Oreochromis niloticus: one gene and its partners. The protein of the gene in region 2 interacts with the protein of the main gene of each other region in a pairwise test. Links are inferred from orthologs where the notes say so. Each region holds a gene or a part of one and is shown on either strand. Other genes may lie near its edges.

Region 1 (7,109 bases), on a different chromosome or scaffold from region 2:
GCATCTAAACGTAGCCCTTTGAGTCCCTGTTCATCTGCATCTGTGAGATCTCGGACAGAAAAGAGCAGAACAAACAATAAGAGCGTTTATCTGTTCCAGGCGCAGCAGGCTGAGGAACAGCAGGAAACATCTGGATGGTTGTTCTCTGTAAGCGCAGCTACACTCAGAGGCAGACTCCCTCCACAACCTTACCCTCCGACAAGCTGTTGTTTCAGCTCACAGGTGTCTAAATATGATTAAATAAAGCTTCATTCAAACAACAGGCAGATAAATCAGTGACACCATCATCAGGACACTCGCTCAGACCTGCTCCGTCCCACAGACGCTTCACGTTTTTGACCCACTTATTTTTACAAACTGCTGAAGTCATTATGAAGAGGCTAAAAATACCTTGCAGTGGCTCCGCCTACACCTGCTGCAAGGACAATGCGTGAAAGCAGACGTGCGCTTCAATTAGGACAATCCACGGGTCCCTCGGTATACTCTCCATGGACAGGAAGAGGTTTACGGTGAGATAAAACGGCATGAAAGAGAGGATGAGGAGGAGGAGGAGAGGAACCAGATGAATGAGGATGAAGCTTTGTGCCACCGACGGCTCGTATTCAGGTCATGAAACATAAGCGTCTGCTCTGCATCAGGTTACAGCCAGACCTCCATGTCTGCTCAACATGTCCGCCTCCCCTGCAGCGCCTCCATCCCTCCCCACCTCCCCCTCTGCACCATCCGCCCGGCTCTTACCTCCCTGCGGCCTCTCCGTCCACATCATCATCGCCGCATCGCCCAGACTGCTGCAGCTTCACGCCGACACACAGCAGCAGGATCAGAGTCAAAGACACCCACCAACCCCCCTAAACACACACACACACACACACACTCACTGCTTCCTCCCTCCGTTTCCTTAGCAACAGCACAGCAGCATCACACCTCCTGTAGCCCCTCCTCCTCCTCACTCCATCCCAGCAGCGGATGAATATTTCAGCCTCCACTGAAGCGAGAGCGGCTGCTCCTCCCCCACCTCAAATATTCAGCACTGTGTGTACTCGTATTACTCAGATTGTGGGGACGTGAAGTTTACAGTTAAGATGCGAGGACTCCACAATGCACACGGTTAGCTTTACGTGAGGGGAAGGTGATGGTTTCAGCTAAAGAAAATAAATCATGCTTTTAAGTTTCTTTTATTAAATGTATTAGATGAAGTTTGTCTAACTGATGTCAAATGAGGGTTGTTTTTTTTTTTTTTTTAAGTCATTCTCATCTTAAACTGTAAAATCTTTAGTTATTTTTTATTCCACTAACACATTACACACCCTGTTTGTGCCTTTCTGCACCTTAATTGTAACCAACTGGCATAAAGTATAATCTTTGGGGAACTTTTATTTTAATTTTTGCAGAATATGTTATACAAACTTCTGGGGAAATGAAGCTTGTCCTGTCCTGCAGGATGAGCTCACAGATTATACCATCAAAGGATGATGATGAATGTTTGGTTACATAACTGATGTGACCGACGCGCTCGACCCTGAACGCCGTCTCCCTATAAGGAGCCAGAGGATTTCAGACATTTATATCATGTGATTGAATGTCCTGTGACAAACATCAGATTTAACTGGAACCAGCAAACATGAAGCCTCTGAACATCAAAACCTGCATCAACAGGAGCCGCCGGGACCCGTCAGAGTGTTAGAGTTATGGGAAAAACATTTAAAAAGTGACCATATCTGAACAACACTCGTGCCCGCCTGTCCCCGCACATACAGACTACACAAATATGTCTCCTGGGGTTGATTATTACCTGAAGTAAACCAGGGGGACTAAAATAAACGCACAGAGGTAAATGCATGTTCACAAGCAGTTCAAATGACATATTTGCTCCATGCTCTCTAGCGCCTCCGGAGGGTGGGACAGTGAAATCTGAGATCATCCTCACAGTCCGTCCTCTGGCTCAGACTCCACATCTGTCCAGCTGTCAGACTGGTACACACGTCCCGAGCTCATCATTCACGTCCATCTACACAAGTGCAATCAGTTTGCATGACCAGCAGGTGGGGCTGTTTCTGACAGCCGACACATAATTGTTAACTCATACAGGAGCACATACAGGTTCATCACCTGTGAAGTATTTCACACCAGCTTACCTGAGTGTAAAACAAGCGCACTTATAGTTTTAATAGCAGCAAACCGCACAACACCACAAATCTGACAATAAGACCCAAACATGCGTCACAACAGTCCATCACAAAATACACTCAGCAGTAAAAGTTAGCCCTGCTATCATTTTATGGCTATTTCCACAATCAAATAATACCTGTGTTGATATCAGAGCTCCACCAAGTCTGAGTCACTGACCGCGTAAACCCTGCTGAGCTGACCTCTCGTCTCAGACAGGTGATTTTTAAGCCAATCAGAGAGCAGATTTACCTTTGCCTAACAACAGAACTCCCCGTAAAGTTTAATATTTACAACATTTAGTGACATTTTACTGCTGCACTCAGATATGATAACATTTACTGTGCAGCTGTAAACATTCCTCAGTCCGTCAGCAAGTTCAGATAAAAACTGCTGAATCACAGCTTTATGATTATTGAACAACAAAGGGTTGCCTTGTCCTCCCCCGAGGACACGGAAAATAAAATTACCCCACTGTAAGTGAAAGTCCTGCTCTTTAAGCGTTACCCCACAGAAATCACGCGAGTCCCGTCTGTGAATACGTGTCAGGGCCTTCAGTTTGTGTCCGCGTGCAACGAGTCGCTCATTAACGAAAACTGAAGTCTTCACCGAGCAGTCGGCCGGGAGTGTAACTCATACTTTAGGAGCGTTAGTGTGAGAGTTGTATAATCCCTCCATGGACGGGTTTGACCCATGTCTGTTTTACTGTTTGCAGGATTAATCAGGAAATGCAAAGATGAGCGAGACCCGACGCTTCAAAGAAAGGACTCGTTCAATTTTGGTGCCTGCAGGGTTAGAGCCTCAAGCATCCTGTGCTTCACGTTCTCCTCAGTGGGTTTCAAATGTTTAACCTCTAACTGGGCTAACTGGTTAGAAGTGGCTGACTTTTCAAAAATAAGAGCAGCTTGTTCACTAATAAAATCAGTCACTCATGGAGTCGTTCTGTCAGGCTTCTAAATAAATAAATAAATAAATGAATCAGCAAACCGACTTTGCTCTGTGGAAACTTCTGGACAGCAGCAGGATTCAAAGCAGCTCGATAAAAATCACCAAAGTAGATTTCATAAATACTGAAACGTTGAGAACAAAAACACTCCGAGCTCTCATAACTGCCGCTGTGATTTGGGACCATTATGGTTACAGTTTTAACAACATTTACTTCTTTGATTAAAAATAATGACAATCATGTTTATGCGCCATCTTCCTGCACACAGTAGAAATTCAAATTCTGTTTCTACTGTTGGTTCATTTTTTTCCCCCTCATTCAGATTATAGACTGATCACATTTTCATGGAAACAAAATCATAATTTTAAAAAGATTTACTTGTTTAAACGCAGTATTATATTCTATTAGATAACTAATTTGACCAAATTAAAGGTGTAAAAGCTTCAGGCTACAAATGGTCCAGTTCACCTGATGGTCCAGCTGAAGTGAGGCCAACGGAAATAAAGTAAAAATATTTCTACATGCAAACAAATCAGTCTATAACTAGATAAAATAAAGTACTTTAGTTCAAAAACTCATCATGTGACAGTTTTGCAAAGGTCTTAATGCTCATTTTTGTGAAGTCTCTCAGGCTGTACGTCACCTGTTTGATAAATGAAGGGTTCAACTTTACACTCGGAGGTGATTATCAGGGTGAAATCAGGGTGTAAATCCTTAATAAGTGCAAACTCACACTCACCTAAAATGTAACTAAAAGTTCGTATTTCCTTCTAAAATTAGAAGTGCGTCCCCGGTTTCCCAAACTTGTTTTTAAAGTTTTTATGTTTTAATATTTTCAGGAATTAAAACCGCACGCCGTCTGAACCCGACCTCTTCCTCACCTGGACTTGCTTCCTGCTGTTAGGGAGGTTGTGTATGGCCCCTCGCCTCCTCTTCCCCTCAGCTCTGCGGATCATTGATCCATCCACTCGATCCCGGGTCCCGGACACCCCCCAGCACCCGTCGCCTGCGCTCCCATCCTTCAGACGACCTTCCCGTCCCGCGGCCTCAGTGGACCGGTTTTGCTCCGGTTTGTTCCGGTTCTTAATCAGGTTGTGGAGCGTCAGAACCGCCAGGGTGCACAGGACATACATGACCCCTCGCCCCACCCTCAGACTCTAGGGTGCTTCGGGTGGGTGCTTGGTTTCATCACAGGGTTGTTCCAGCCCAGGTGGGAGCTCACAGGTGTCTCGTTTGGGTCCCGCTGAGGTTGACGATCCTCGCTCTAAATGTTTCCTCTAAAAAGGATCAGCTGTTTAAATCCTGCTGTGTTTGTTCACCTCTGTCCCGAACCCCGCCCCGTCAACATCACATCAGATGATAAAAGCTTCTGAACCTTGTCCCGTCCTCCTCACTGCTGTCACGCCAACGGTTATCAAGACGGGTAACCAGAGCCTGCAGCCGCCAGTTTCAGTTTCTCACTGAAACTCAAGACTGTGCAAACGCCTCCTGCTCTGAAGCGAGGCTGCAGAGGCGTGCAGCAAAAACAAAAATCCCCACATAAGAGAAAAGTGATTCGAAGTGCAACACGGACGCAGAGCAAGATGCAAAGTTTCAGCAGAGTTTTCCCTGGAGTGATATTCTGACCTTGAGGTCCACTGCAAGAAAAAAAAAAACCAAAGTTTGTTCTGCAGACCTGCAGGAAAAGCACGAATCCAGCTCCTGCGTGGAGTCAGAGAACTTCTCCTCACAGAGTTTGTGGATGAGCAGCAGGTGCAGGAAACTGTTTCCTCTGTGGCAGGTCGGGTCTTCCCCTCCATCAGACTGAGTGGATCAGAGAAAGAGCTCGAGGGGCCTCCTCTCCTCCCTCCCTCTGTCCCGGGACCATCTGTTGTTATTGCTGCAGGATAAAACTGCAGAGGATCGCCGGTGACGTAACAGCACGACACTAAACGATGGATTTATGTTAATATCTTCAGGATGAGCTACGTGCCGGTTTTCACGTTTAATAACAGTCAGGATTACTTCCAGTTCTTTGATCACTGATCCGTTTGTAGTCACTGCTTAAACTGATCACATCTCTGTAACTTTCACTTTACTGGAGCACTTTTATTCAATAAAGAGACCGTAGAAATACAGAGTACAGTAAACATGACTGCAGCACACTGGTCATAAAAATCTGTAAAGGCTGATTTTTAGAGTGAAGAAAAGCCTTTTATTTTGGAAAGTGCTGTCCCAACTATAATTTTAGATGAGAGAAGACTTTTATTTTGACAGCAGTGATGTTCTAGTTGGTAGAATAGTCCAGAAAAGTTTAGACTTCAGTCTTTTCAAAATTTAAGTATAATTTTAGATCAGAACAAGCGTTTATTTTGGTGACAGGGACAATCTGATTGACATTACAGTCTCATTTTGAATGTGCAGATTGGAAAATCATTAAAGGCTTTTATTGTGGAAACAGTGACCTGCTCATTGTGCCTCATCTACTTTCCCAAAGGCTTTTATTTTGGTAAAGTGAAGGGTTTTAGGTCAGAGTGACCTCTTTCTTTCATGTCGTGGGGATGTCGACCACCTCTCCTAAATAGGTGACATATGTGACAGAGCCGGGCATGCTGGGACTTTGACCCAGTGGGAGCTGACGGTCTGAATCACAGCCACTCAATCCTGACGCTCGCCTCTGATTGGTTGCAGACCTTGCTGCATATAGCAGCGATCCGTCCTGCAGCTCACTGTAAACAGAGCCGGGACAGTTTCTGGAAACGTTCCTGCAAGAACAAAAGGGGGACGTTTCCGGTCCACCGACCCCTTTCAGGACGCTAACGAGGTGAGGGCGGGGCTGCGGTCCAAACTCAGGGTCACACGTTAGAAAAATCTCACGAGGAAGGTCCAGGGGTCATCGAAGAGTTTCCAGAGATCTCAGAGATTTTTAACAGTTCCTGCAGAAGTTCAATGAGCCAAGGAAGACTTTAGTTTTAATTTCTAAAGGTCCAAACGTGCTCCTCAAACACGCAGCGGTTTATTCTACAGCTGATGGTAAACAATAAAGAATGAGGACAGAAGGGGGTCGACTGTTAACGAGGGAGCATGGGAAAACATGCACTCTTAAATTCCGTCCTCACATTTATTTGTAAATTTAGATCAATCCCACTCAGATTTAAGACATTTTTATCGGCTTCGTTACTTTCACGACTGTTTTCTTGTAAATTCAGTTTTTTTTCCCGATCAGTAGTTTTATTTTAAACTCACAGCAGCTCCAAAACAATTTTCTAGCGAGTGTTAGTTAGAAAATCAGTGGATTTTCTTCCTTGTACATTTGTAGTTTTTAAATCTCAGACTTTAAAAAACAAAAACAAAAAACACTGAACTGATTTATTATTTTACCCACAAGGGCTCTAATGCAGAATCTAATATCTGCTCTGTTTTAATTCAATTCAGTTTTATTTACACAGCGCCAAATCACAACAACAGCCGCCTCAAGGTGCTTTGTATTGTAAGGTAGACCCTACAATAATACATACAGAGAAAAGCCCAACAATCATATGACCCCCTATGAGCAAGCACTTTGGTGACAGTGGGAAGGAAAAACTCCCTTTGAACAGGAAGAAACCTCCAGCAGAACCAGGCTCAGGGAGGGGCGGGGCCATCTGCTGTGATTGGTTGAGGTGAGAGAAGACAGGATAAAGACATGCTGTGGAAGAGAGACAGCCTTTCATAGACTTTGATCGACTACGGCTGCTTCAAAGTGGCACGACGACAGTCATCCATGCTGGCTTCCTGACCTGAGCTGTTTGGCGCCTCCTTCCACCAATCACTGAGCTCCGCAGTAAATCAGAATAAATTGCCACTCCGTCAGCAGACAACTGTAACACCTGCTTGAAAGCCAGTTTTTATTCTCTAGCTTTAAACCAGGCTGACTGCTGTTATTGGTATCTTCTTTTATGTTTTTTTATTGTGATTAAATTGTGCTCAGACTGGGACTGTGTGTTAGAGATGAGCGGATTTTCCTTTAGCCGTTTTC
Region 2 (7,109 bases):
GTAATTTGAAAGAAATTAAGAATCTGCACTTGGTGGGAACGTGTACTGAAGACCTGTATTTCCACCAGCAATTAAAAGAAATTGTCTCATAATTATCCAAATTCCCGCTGGACAGGAATTGTTGACTTGAATAAATAAGAAGGTGAAAAGTAAGAGCTTTGCTGTTTTGCACCATCTTCAGAGTGAACCTGGCCAAGGCCTCCATGGCCCTGAGAGGCTTCCTCACCCTGGATCCTGTCGCTCTGGCTTCCTTCTGTAAGTAAGACAAGACGAAAGCAGAATGATGATGATGTTGATGTTAAGGCCTTAATGTGGTTAAGGACTATGCAGTCATGTAAAAAACTAGATACCTTTACTGCCTCCATAGAAATTACAAAAGTAGGACCCAGGTACTGCTAATCAAATGCACCTGATTAATTCAATTATATAAAGGCTTTAGCAATTTGCTGGTCTGTCATTCCAAAGTCGTCTTTCCAGGAGTGAACATAGCACCAATTCCCCCAACTCTGCATATCAAAGTATTCAAAAGTGAAGTCATCTGTCTGACAGGTAATATTTGGCTTACACTGGGTCATGTTGAAGAACAATGACCGCCAGCTTAGCAGCAAATCCAAACCTCAGTCTGGCTTAAATGCTGTGCGGCTTCATAGAGCTGTGCATGAACAAAGAACCAAGGTTTAAAGAAGAGTGGGCCAAACTTCCTCCACAACAATGTTACAGACTGATAAAGTCATACAGAAAACATTTACTCATTGTAAGGGCGATTAAGGTAGATCTAAAGCTAATGAATTATGAACCTAGGCATGTTGGACTGGTCATTTTTTACTCTCTTAGTGGTTTTTTACAGGATCTCATAGAAAACTGAAAATGTTCTTTTTTAAATGCCTGTAAGTATCCAAACATCTTCTCTCTTTGTGTGCTCAGTGTATTTTATAGCCCTGATCCTGTCCCTCAGCCAGCAAATGGCCAGTGATCGCATCAACCTGTATCCCACTGCCAACGAGACTCTGTGGTGAGATTTTTGTTTTCATTTTTATAAGTCAGCATTTTTAGCGTGATCTTGGAAAAGTAAAGAGAAAAACAGATGAAAGCAATTCTTTCCACAACAAGTTCAAGGTTGACATGGCAACTGAATTTAAAAACTGATAGGAGCTTAAAGGGCTAAAAGGAAATATCTAATGCAGGATGGTTTAAAAGCAGGTGTTTTACATTATACAATACTTATTAATACTTATTAATATTTCTGTGGTTCTAGTAGAACACTAACCATGTATAAGAAGTTGATTTTTACCAAAAGTGTAACCCTTATTCAGGCAATTGTAGTCACATGTTGGTTTTTTCCCATGATGAAACTAATTTGAATATCTTTCTATATATTGAGTAATACTTACATTTCAATTGTTTGGCAAATTTAAAAACAAAACATTTGAAAACCAAAAGTATCCAGAAAACATTCACACATTTCCACATAAAAGGAACATCTTCCTTTTAACAACACTGAGACCTGAGGTACCATTGCCAAAGACTTTTAAGAGGCTAATGCATTTCTTTTATTAAACTTAACTTGGAGAATCTCAGAGTTCTGCTATTTTCTCCTTACCATGGTTGGAAAACCCTCCTGAGGACTCAATCTTGACATGGAATGGTAAATTAATAACTGCTGTTTAACCTCTCATGTCCTGCAGGCCTCCTGGTTCAGAGCAGCAGATCCTGCGGCCGTGGATTGTAGTGAACCTGGTGGTGGCGCTATCAGTGGGCCTGGCCTGGGCCGTCGTCTCCACACGACCAGACATCGACTACACAGAAGGCAAGTTTAGCTAAAACTAACCTGATATGACTTGGACATTCCATCACCCAGTGATGGAAAGTAACCAAATGTAGTTAAGTACAGTTCTCTGGTCTTTTGCATTACTTGTACAAAAATATGCTATTGCTCATAACAAATATGTATTCCTTTTAAGCTTCAAAAACTTTTTTTATAGAAAATGAAATGTAAAGATCACACAGAGGGATGTTACTTAACTTTGGGGACACCTTCTTGAGCAAACAGGAAACGTTAATGATACTTCACATCCTGTGGAAACAGTGAAATAAAATGAAAAAGTGGTAATAAAACTACAATAACAGAAATCGTAAAAGGCTTCTGTAGGATTTGCAAGGTTTTGGCCACACAGCACACGCACATGGAGTCTCCTGGACTCCAAATACACCAGGTAGTCTGAAGGATTAATGACACATCACTTTTTTTTAATTTAAATGTAGCTGTATATAGTATAAAAGTAATACTTTTGATGCATTGCTGTGTTCCTGGTGTCATTCTTTATGTCACCACTAGATAGAAGCAAAGTGAAACATGTTCAAACCCTAAAAGCAAATGGCAGACATTCACATGTCAGCAAGCCAGCGTGTGTGTGCTTTGTAGAAATGTAAGCTGATGGTCTGGATTTCCTTTTGCAGAGTTTTTGATGACAATGGAAGTGGAGGGATACCCGAGAGGAGATGAGAACCTGGACATTCCGGCCTGAAACCTCTCTCTCTTTCTTTGTCTCCAAGTCTGTTTATGTTTTTGTATAATGTAGCTTTGTGTTTGAGCTGATTTTGCAAATAAACTAATAAAGGCTATATGGTAATAGGTGGTTGATACTTCTGCAGAGGAATAAGTGCCAGAAGAGCATAAAATACTTTCTGGTGTTTGTACTCCACTTGTAAATGTTGTATGTATTATTTTCATTCCTCTATTTTTGCTTATGGTCGTTTGCACCTTTTAGCAGTTTTGTCTGTGAAGTCATTTTGTGTGTCTGTTGTGTTTTCATCACTTTGCAGTTTTTGTGTCTTTGTGTGTTTTCTGTTTGTGGTCATTTTACCCATTTTGCCTGTAACAATTTTTATACACAACAGCAATTTTTTATGCTGTGTGTTGTAATTGGGAAGTCGCTTTGCATGTACTTGGATGTGTCTCCTTTTGTGTATCCGTTTGATGTCATTTGTCATTTTGTGTGCCTTGTTTGTTTGTAGCAGTTTTCTAAGTAATTGTAATATTTCTGAGCTCTATTTGCCTCTTTTACCTTCATCATTTGCATCACCTCCTGCGTGTATTTCATAACAGTTTGTAGTCGTTTCCGAGATGTTTTTGCGTGACTTTGATTAACATTCCCTAAAAAAGAAGGTTAAACAGTCAAACGAAACAATATCGTGGCCCCACCTTACGACAGTGGGCTCTACACTTGTGCCTGGTAGTCCCTCAGAGCACTCCCACTCTCCCACTTTTCTTCATGCCATCACAGTATTGACATTTCCGCACAGCCCCTGAAGGCGCTAGGATCCATCCATTCAGCGCGCGCTGCAGCCGTGTAGTAAAAGCCATGTAAAGATGGCGGAGCTGCAGATGCTGCTGGAGGAGGAAATTCCTGCGGGACGAAGAGCGTTGTTGGACAGTTTTACCAACCTGGAAAGAGTCGCGGAGTACTGCGAAAGCAACTATGTCCAGGTACATGCTCATATTTAAACAGCAAGTGTATAAGTTGGGTGAAATGACATATCGAGGTAATGTCAGTTGGGAGTAGGCGGTTTGGATAGAGGAGTGATGGAATGACCGTGCCAGATTCCGTTATGTTACCCGTGGTTTTTATGTAAAGGGGAAAAGTCACAGCGAATTCAATACAAACACTGACCCGCTGATGCCTGAATACGAAGGGTGTCGGGGTCAATTCGGTTTTTTGAAAAATATCCTCAAACACATCTTTACTAGTGAAAAATCAACTTTTGTAAGTGGTTTGCGCAGCACCGTGTTGTTTTCTGATGGAGCGTGACTCTGTGGGAATGTGATGGGTGGATTTGGGTTAGTTTTAAAAGTTTGCTTTAACCGAAATAAGTTTGAATATGTTCACTGAATGGGTGCCGAATTAATTGTCGAGTTGCGTTTTTCTAGTAAAATGTCTCTTGCAAAGTTTGTGATGTTTATGTAAGCAGGCAATCGCTTGAGCAGAGATGCGTTAATGGGAGTCTGGCGCGACACTTAACTGGTATGTGATTGTGGCCGATAACTTGCACTGTAAATCGCTGCTGAGATTTATGATTTACTTTTACTGCTATTCTATAAACAGTTTGTTTTTATTTATTTATTTTCATCAAATGATAACCGGCAGAATTAGGGAAATTTGAAGATAATTGTTAGTTTCAGTCCTGATCTAAAGTCTTCAGTATCTAGTAAAAACATTGTTTCAAATTGCCATCAAGGTGGCAAATACGGCTGTTATGACAAATAAATGTATCAGATTAATCTTTAGTATAGATCCTTTATAGATTCCGTTTGTCCTTGAAGATGCAGCTAATGATTAATATCATCGCTGATAGCTGACAGCTTTTCTTTGATACAAATTGTGCTTTTCTTTTTTATGCTGTTACAGTGGTTGATGCTCATATTAACATGGCCAAAGTTTCAGACCATGAGGTCAAGTTATTCCTGTGAACCAAAACAAAGTGGTCTAAATGCTCAGTTTCAGACACTTTCTTCTCCTCTTGGCTCTGTATGACGTCAGTGACAGCGGAGATCCCTAATATGGTCATGTCAGGCTCACAACTCTGGCTAATTTATGCAAATATGACATGGAGGAAAAGGGGTTTGCACTCATTGCTCTTTCCATCATTGGTGGAACCGGATGACGTATGCGTCAAGTGGGCATATGGAAGGGAAGGGGACAAGAGTGGATCTTCTCTGTGGCTGGCAAATGGACCAACAACACCACGACCTGTTCTATCACATACTTTGTACACTGTTTCTATCTGACACTGTTTCTGCTCTGCACGCTGAACCAAACTTTTTGTTTCTGGCTGTAAGCACATAAGGCCCACCACCTGCTTTTCAAACCATAGATGGTCTAAAAGATGGACGTAGCCACCATTACGCCAGCTGTTGGTTTGTGAAGTCCTGTTTTTGAATCTTCAAGCTGATGGGTTTTTTCCCCCAAACGTAATGTTTGTCATGTCATTAAAACCGGACGTGACAAGCAAAGGTTGGATCTAAAACTGCACATACGGCAATTTTCAACTGCGACTTACTTGAAGCTGTTGTATTATAGCACAGTCATTTGTCACGGGCATAATACAGCCCCTTGAATTTAGTGTTAAATTAACACTCAGCTTATCCACTGATGGCTTCTTGAGAATGTGAGTTAGACACCAGTATCTGTACTGGGCTGCCATCCCTCCACCCCCGTGCTTGCTTATCGGAGAGTGTGTGAGTGTACGTGGGCAGACAAGGCTGTTACGGACAACTGTTCTTCCTCAGCTGGCTCTGTAGACACACCTGTTCATCGCCACATTTCATTTAGATTCGTGTGTTTGTGTGAGTCTTACTGTCAGTCAACAAGTGAAAGTGCATCAACAGTCTTTCTTCTTTAAAGGCCAGAAGCACACAGGCGCTACATGATGCGTCACAGCAGACCGACACAGTGAAATCTTGTTCTGCACATCTACACATGATGAATTCCACAAGGGCGCTTTCTTTTTCCCCTCTTTTATTCCTTCTCCTCTCTATTTCTTCTTTCCTTTATAACCTTTGACCTTTTTATTTCTCTGAAATTCTCAGTCTGTTTTCACACAGTACTAGCTTGGCATTAGCTTTCTCATTTTTAGCAGTCACATCAGCAGTAACATGTCATCTTCTCAGGAAAACTGAAAGTCTTTTTTAGCTCGTTAGACTGCTCACACTGCATGTTCAGATTGAGCCTAGCATGGCTAACTCAGTACCCAGAGGATGGCCTACATTTATGCAGCCAGCAGATGATGTGATTGTTACATAATAGCGCAGTGTGCTGATCCTGTTTTATGGGCTAAATATTTGGATTCAGAGTTGACCCGGGTCAAGTTGTTGTTGGTCTTATGTGGCCACATCCTGGCATCATTGTGGTCCAAATTCAGATTTAAAACAGTCTAGTGCTTTTTAAGGGGTGGGGGTGGGGGGGGTGGGGGGGGTTACAGAGTGTCTTTATTCTTTTACTTTTGCATTCCCAGAAAGTTGATTTCCTTACCTGCATCAAGGTGCTCTGAGTGTTTATTTGTTTTCTGTGAACAGAGATTTTCAATAACATAATGTTGCAACTGTACAAGATACAGTCATGAAGCTTTGCACGTCTGTGGTTGACATCAAAATGAATGCTGGCTTTGAACATGGGTGTGGTCAGTTTTGAGCATTAAATAAAGGCTTCCTGGAAGTGGGGAGGACAAGGGCTCCTTCCCATTTTATTTTGTGCAATCCCAACAAGCAGACAAACACCTGTGAGCAAACACTTGGCAACAGTGAAAAGGGAAAACTGTCTTTTAACAGGAAGAAACCTCCAGCAGAACCAGGCTCAGGGTGGGGCAGCCATCTGCTGCGATTGGTTGGAGGTGAAGGGAGGGAGACGAGACAAAAGACACACTGTGGAGGCGAGCCAGAGATTAATAATAATTAATGACTAAATGCAGAGAGGTGTATAAAAACGGAGAGCGTGAAAAGAGGTGAATGAAGACAAAACACTCAGTGCATTATGGGAAGCCCCCACAGCAGCCTAGGCCTATTTAAAAGTTACTAAGAGAGGATTCAGGGTCACCTCATCCAGCTCTAACTTTATGCTTAATCAGAAAGGAAAGCTGAAGGCTCTGTCTCCCATTCTACTTTTAAATATCCTAGGCACCACAACTGAGCCAGTAGTCTGATGGCAAAATGCTCTGACGGGGTACTATGAGGTCTTTAACATAAAATGGGGCCTGATTATTCAAGACCTTGTAATCTGTTATGTGGTATAAAAACAGATTTCCATTACAAATGTAGTCTGAGAATATCTCTTATGTGAACCAGTTGCAAACTGGTCATTAGTTGTGTTTATTAACAAAACTATGTTTGGAAGAGGCAAAGTAGGAGGAGTATGGGACTATCGAGTCTGCCTGTATGCGCCGAGTTTCTAACAGCTGTCTGCAGATATCAGGCTGATGTCAGGAGACACAAACAGCAGGAGCTGAGCTTGTGTGCTGACTTTCCTGTTCTGCCTCTGCTCAAAGTGATAATTAAAGTGGATTTTAATGCTCTGCTCTGTTGAAGCCTCTTGTTCTGACTGCCCACAGCTGTGTGG
Region 3 (7,109 bases), on a different chromosome or scaffold from region 2:
TAGCGAAAAGACATCTCTCACAGTCGACTCCACTCACTCATTTCCATGAAGAGCTGTCTCTTCTCCACCATGGCCTTGCCTCGTTTACTGCCTTCCTCGATCATTCTGTGGCACATCAAACACCAGTGCATGCAGCACTTACTCTTACTGCGCTTACTGCACAGCAGCATGGTAATAAATGCAACACACAACTCATTTCAGTGTCAAAAGTCATAGAGATAGGACTAAGAAGGATTCGAATGAACTACACGTCTTGCATACAACTAAAGAAAATGCAGATATATACAGGACAGATAGATGATTTTTGTGGATAAAACGGAATAGAAAAAGATCTGGTGTTCAAGTCTAAATTACTTTTACCAGTAGAGGACACACAGTAAGTGATCCATTATGTGGCTATAATGAATTATTGAAACACTCAGATGAACCCTTGAATAGGGCTGTACCAGCAGAAAGTTTGCAATTTCCCCTCTGCACCAAGGACAGCGTTAGTCATCAATATAACCTTGGTCAACTATATAGATGATTTTGCTTTGAAATTTCACTTGTTTATTGCTATTACTGAGAAGGGACAGAAAACTGAAAAGAAATTACATATACATTATACTGAGAGTGTGCTTGGTAAAAGAATAGCCGTGTCAGAACGGTGACTTTTATTAAAAGGAAGAGTTTAACACTGTCAGAATAATGTTACTTCTTTCATTGGGTATTTAAGGAAAAATTAAAAAAAAATCCTTTCACATTTGTAGGTTTAATATGAAGCTACAATCAGGTGCCAAATAGCTTAGCTTAGTATAAAGATTTGAAAATGTGGAAATGGTTTGCTCTCCAGCTTCTAAAACTCACTAATTACCAGAATATGTTGTAGTTTAGGGTGGGTTGCATATGGGATATTTATATATAGTATTCCAGTATTTCTGCATAGCCAGTTTTACCAGTTTATGGCTATACTAGCTTACCAATGTAAGAATGGTATAGATCACTTATGTGATCTAACTCTTGGGGGAAGTGGAAATAACTAGAGATGCGCCAACTGACCAACAAGAGACCAGAATCAGCTGATTTCCAGTGTTCTTTGCCCAGACAGGTGACCGGCCAGTCAGCCTCATGTACATATATGGCTTATTATGGGCCAGACCACAATGGCATAGGCAAACAGTCATATGCTAGCATCTTAATGGGTGAAGACACAAACCTTGCCAAAATAAATCACCACAAAATGGAACAACAATTTTAATAAGACACTTAAATCCCCCTCACCAAGCTGAACATGGATATTTTAAAAAGGCAGCAAAGGCAAAATGGCTAAAGCTAAAGCTATCAGTATCAGGCTCGGTATGAGCAATGAAAGAGTAAGTGTAACTTACTGCAGTTTGGCAAAATTATTAAATCTTATCAATTCTTTACTAGTGAAAATAAAATTTTGCATTAAAGAAAAGTATGCTGTCTATTGCAGTTCTTCGAAAGAGAATCTCAAGAAGCCAAGGAAATTGCACTCTCTACAAATCTTTTAAAATATGACGACAAAATCTATTTAGCTCTAAACTCATGAGCACGTAAATAAGATTAAAAATATTTCTCAATGCCCCCAAATAATTATCTGATACCAAAGAAGAGCTGCCTATTGAACATCTTTAACTGTTGTTGCCTGATTCAACTTCACTGTTGACTCTGTTGTGCATTTTCAAACAGGATTCACTGCTGGTGTGTGTTTTTCCTCAGCTCAGCAGGGAAAGAAAAGCCCCCTTTGAAACAACACAGGCTTCATTACTTCATTCACTTCTTTCTCTGTACTATTTTTCAAAAGCGTCTCCATGGCTTTTAATGTTGTGATTCCAGTCACTTCTTTACAGTGTCACTTCTCTCAAACACATTTTAATTTACCGTTACCACCAATTGTTTTGGACTTGTTTTCTTATCTGACAAAAATAATTTACCGTGAAGACAATTTGCACATGGACACCGTATCCTTTCCTGCTTACCAAGCGCTTATATGAAATGCTTTACATGTGACATATTATATACACACTGATTCTCACTGATTTTAAAAGTACTTACCTGCCGCACACTGTATGTCAACAAAGTGAAGCCCTAAACGTTGACCCTGTAAAGAAAAACAAATTGAAAAAGGTCAGCGAGGGTGTCTTGATATTGACTCGACGCCACCATTACTACGAGAGATGAGCTATTCCACGCTGACAAAATGTAGTAGACTTTTAAATAAGTAATTAACGCCTCCCTTGTCTACCTCCTTCAAGGACTTATTAACTCTCACTTTGTGCTTTTGTTAAACCCTCCCATCGCCTCCTGTAGAGATACTGGTGAGCCAGCTAGGGAGCACTCCAGTGCCTGTGGTCTGTGCAAATGATAATTCTCTATGACATCCCGCTCAGCAGTGACTGCATCCTGTGGGCTAATGACACCAACTGAGCTGCAAAGGAACCACTTAATGATGACGGACACAGAGCACATTAGGGATAGCCAATAAGCGATCAGCACTGGGTGTCCCTGGGACCAAGGACTCAAGAGTATCCCAAACATGTTTAGATTACTTATTCTCATGGTGAATTGAGGGCGTTCAGCTGATCAGCAAACCATAGAAGCCAAGGTTCGAAGTGTGTAGACAAGAAGCCCCCCCCACCCCACCCCTTTTTATTTTGCTTTCACTTCTATCCAACCTTGTTTTACACAGACTGATCTCTAGTGTTATGACAGAGCCTATTTCCAGTCACAAACTTGCACCTCTCCCTTGTCTTGAACATTTCTCCGTGCTGCTTACAAGAGCCAGCAAAGATTTTTAAAGGGGACGTTTCATTGAAATTAAGTTTTAAATAATAGATATTAATATAATAAGAGCCACATCTAAAGACTATTCTCAACATCAAACAATCTGCTGATATTTTTCTCAAATGTTCAATCAATATTTTTGCCATACGACAGCTTTGGGTGATATCTTTAACTACAGCCTGGCTTTCTAACAAGCAAAACCTCCCACTTCCTAAACAGCGGGTTGAGTAAAGCAGAAAATCCAGTTGTGGGAATCTGATGTTTGCTTGAAAAACCAAACGAAATGTCAGATTTTTTCCAAATAATTAAATTTTTTGAGCAACTGAATGACTCATCTTCAGCTCTTTGACAACAACCACTCGTTTCACAAGCAGCAATAAACCACTCTGTGCAATAGTCAAAAACCAGCTTCAGTGCTTATAAACACCATCACATGTCTTTGGAGCTGGCACAGCACGGTAGTTTGGATAAAGTTAGACCAATTATATATCATAATTGTGATTCTAAATAGAGAGAAAAAAAAGCTTTGGGGGCATTTTTAGAGCAGATATGTCAAAGAGGCACGACTGCCCTTTGGCGAAATGGTTAAAAAAACATTTGTTATGCAGTGGAAGACCCAGCAGAGACATGTCAGCAAAATATCACAATGGTTCATTGTAAATATTCCCCCTATGAGGTAACTGCTGAAATTCATGAGTATGCAACAAGGGTTGCACACTGGCAGTTCGTGTTCACAGACGTGTAATCGGAGCCTGTAAGCAGATGACAGTTTAACGGTTAAGTTGATTATTTGATGGAAGTTTTTAATAATTCATGCCAAAATAAATTCAGCACATTCAGATCACAGTCGGTGCGATCACTGTTTCACCGGTCCCGATCAATGGGATTTCTAGCTAGTGCCATGTATTCATTTCCCCATAAACAATCACAGGCTCGTAATAATTTGGATGTCAGATGCTTGCAGTGAAGTCAGACTGTGTAGTAATCATCACAGGCCTGGAAAGGTGCATTTTACTGTAACCGCACCTTCAGCTCCAAGGTAATGACAACATCCTTTGACGCGAGTCAACATAAGGACTCGGTTACTGCAGTATCTCTCCGCCGCTGATATCATTCACTTCTCCCTTTCTACGAGCCTTAATTCTAACGCCGAGCAGCACCGCAACACTTAAAAATCACTTCTGAAGCGACGGCAGAGCATCAACGCAGCCATGTTGCTGATTTAACCGCCTATTTACCTTATTTCCGCAGTGGGGAATGTGTGTCGTGATGTCCATACATTTATTTTTTATTTTTTTTAATTTGTATTTTTTTGGTTAACAAACAATGACAATTCTGCATTTCTTCAAATCCTACTGGTGTCTCCACAGCCAAGTAAGATACATGGCGGGGAATTGGCCTTTACCGGAGGAAAATCGCGCAGGTTGTGTTTAGAGCATCATCATCATCGGTGGCAGCAGCAGCAGCATCAGATAGGGAGGATGTAAGTGGCTATGGGCGAATAAGGGGGATATTTCCTCCGTGCTGGACAGCCCCACTTCTCACCTTTAATAAATCCACGCGTTTCCCCCGATGTTAAAGCTGTCCGGGCGATGAGAAACAGCTCGGACCATCCATCGTCGTTTTTCAAGCCCCTCTCCCGTCTCATCCGACTTCAGTCTTCGCAACTGCGGTTGTAGCCGCACACAGAAACGTAGAGGCGCCCCGCTCCACTCGGCATCGTCAGCGACCCAGCGGCAGAGGACAGTAGATACAAGCAGGCACGGAGATGCCATGCGCGACCACCTACTAGTACACTTTACGCATGTGCGCACGCACGCTGGTTAAAGGCGCACTACTATTATTAATACCGCTGTTACTCTGAATTATAATCCCCAATATTATACACTGAACAGGAAAAAGCACAGTATTCATTTAGGCTCATTTAAAGGGATACTGCAGCAGTTTGGGACTTTCATCAAGAGGGGAAAGAAAGAGATGTGATGTTTCTAAAAGACCGGAAAAGTATCATGACTTTCTAGTTGTCTGGAGCACCAAGCTCCATAACTCCTGGGCTCTACATTTCCCATAATGCAGCTCAACAGCGTCATACGACAGCGTTACTGTTCTTTATTCAACAACTGGACTCTTCTGGATAATATACGGACCCCAAATGTTTTTAAATATTAAATTAAATATAGTTTATTTTTTGAAGCTATTTAATGAAAATAATACCCTCGCCCCCTCCCCAACTGTGACCTCGTATAAAACCATGTATCCCTCCTAAGGGCAGAGATCTTTAGGAGACACCCCACCACATTTCTTTTTTACATTTTTCTAAGACAGTCAGGGATAACTCAGTTACAGTAATCAGGGTTTTTATGTCAAACTTTGGAGCAACAGAATTTTTTGTCAGACTGGCCCACAGAGGGGTCGTAATATTATTGTGCTTTTTAAAAAATATATATATAATTATAAATAGTACCAAAGAAAAAAAATACAATAAAATGAAGAAGCAGTCAAAAAAAAGAAACTTTTTCCATTATTATTTATTCATAATATTCTATTACTTTGATAAAATACACTTTGTTTACAAGTTCTGATTACTATATTACATTCACCTGGAGTTTTAAATGGAGACAAAATGACACTGACATTAAAGAAATTCACCTAGTGTCAAACATGACATTAAAAGAAGAAGGGGAAAAAAAGTGGCAATCCCCCCCCCCTCCTTTCCCACCCCCCACTTCTTCAAGCCATTTTCTATATGATGTGCTCTACTCTTCCAAATGCACACACACAGTTAGCCTTAGTATTGATTGGGACTGCTGTTGGACTCATGTTTCAGTCATCATTAACAAAAATTTCAGCTGCCTTTAGGGTTGAGAATGATTGTTCTTAATATTTTTTTGCAGTGCAATCCAGTCCAGCAGGACTCTAACATCACATTCAACCAAATATGACGTAAATAATTAATGGGGGTCAAAAATGAGAATAAAAAAACACATCTGTATCACTAACTCAAACATCACTATGTCATTAATAAGTGAAATTTCTATGCCTTGTGAAAATCCTGCTAGATTCTAGCCCTCAAAAACAACTTTCCACAAGACACAACCACCAAATAAAAATAAAACTATATTAATTGAATGACTTTTTAAATGGTGCATTAAAACATTATCTTTTCATAAAGTGATGATGCAAATAGACAAGTAAAAGCTACACTTTAGACAACATCTTCATCGAAAAATATAGACCAATGGATTCACTAAAAAACCTGGACCATACAGAATATCAGATACCTGGACTATTTGAAAAGTGATTATTCTGCACGGTGGACTGTCCAGCCTAAAAAAAAAAAAAAGACAGCCAATATATTAATATAGTAAATACCCTGTTGATTTGTCAAAAACAATTAGCAAATAGATCTTTTATATTAAAATATATTAATTAAAATATATTACTTTGATTAACTAGTCAGACATTTAAAAACAACTTCTGATTATTTTTTGTTTTCTTTAAGGTGACTTTGGCATACTACCTTGGAAATAATTGCTATAAAAGAGGTCATGTTTTGTACCTCCAGGAGATTCTAAAATATAGTAGATGTGTCAATATTTGTAACCAGCAAAAACACAAAACGTTTGGAGATAACACTTCAAACACAGTGGCCTTTTTACAAGTCAGTACGCACTAAGCACTAATGTTAAAATCATCATAACGGGCCTGCAAAGGTTATAACAAGTGCTGACACCACAAATGTGTTGTGCATCACAAAGACAAATTACTGTTGATTAAATACATATGTGACAAATATCATTTTTACAATACTTCCAACCACAGTATTATAGAGGATCACTCTCTTAATTTCCTGGAAAAAGGCCGCGTTAAAGTGAAGTGTTACACTCACTTATTGATGTATTGGTGACATATTGTACCTGTTTTTAGCATATTTCACTGTTCTTCTCTATTTTCATTCCACAGTAAAAAAAGAAAAAAAAGAAAAACATTTTGAAATAAAGAGCCAGTTATGCTCAAGCAAGGTGTGCAGCACGAATAAAATAACAATATTTCTACATCTAGGCAAATACCATACATGAGCAAGTATATACAGCAAAATAACAAAATTGTCAGCATTTTCTCCCCCCCGCCTTGAGTGTTTAAATTAAGTTTGCCACGGCTGATTTATCTATACAGACACACAAGCATTAGAAATCCCACACCAAGGGAGATCATATCCACAAACCTGATTTTTGGGGAGGAAATGCTGATTCATGCAGTAGGAAGTGACTTCAGACCTTCACTGGAAGTGAAAAGATCTTAATTTACCAACAAGGATTATA

What was found.
Region 1: the proteins of abl interactor 2 (region 2) and kifc3 interact in binary tests that used the Homo sapiens proteins (3 or more experiments, as listed by UniProt). The link is inferred for Oreochromis niloticus from reciprocal best matches to the Homo sapiens genes ABI2 and KIFC3.
Region 3: the proteins of abl interactor 2 (region 2) and dtnbb interact in binary tests that used the Homo sapiens proteins (3 or more experiments, as listed by UniProt). The link is inferred for Oreochromis niloticus from reciprocal best matches to the Homo sapiens genes ABI2 and DTNB.

The regions. Positions count from the first base shown.
Region 1 is NC_031965.2:37,983,841-37,990,949, forward strand, and holds the start of kifc3 (kinesin-like protein KIFC3), read right to left. Parts: upstream 4,537-7,109; 5' UTR 4,246-4,536; coding exon 3,994-4,245; intron 873-3,993; exon of another isoform or gene 739-872; intron 415-738; exon of another isoform or gene 391-414; intron 1-390. UniProt on the Homo sapiens protein: Minus-end microtubule-dependent motor protein. Involved in apically targeted transport. Required for zonula adherens maintenance.
Region 2 is NC_031987.2:29,358,383-29,365,491, forward strand, and holds the start of abl interactor 2, read left to right. Parts: upstream 1-3,344; 5' UTR 3,345-3,370; coding exon 3,371-3,487; intron 3,488-7,109. Other genes in the region: transmembrane protein 237A, read left to right, coding at 182-255, 925-1,012, 1,686-1,807, 2,458-2,525. UniProt on the Homo sapiens protein: Regulator of actin cytoskeleton dynamics underlying cell motility and adhesion. Functions as a component of the WAVE complex, which activates actin nucleating machinery Arp2/3 to drive lamellipodia formation.
Region 3 is NC_031983.2:18,630,702-18,637,810, forward strand, and holds the start of dtnbb (dystrobrevin, beta b), read right to left. Parts: upstream 4,552-7,109; 5' UTR 4,333-4,551; intron 2,105-4,332; 5' UTR 2,059-2,104; intron 106-2,058; 5' UTR 105-105; coding exon 38-104; intron 1-37.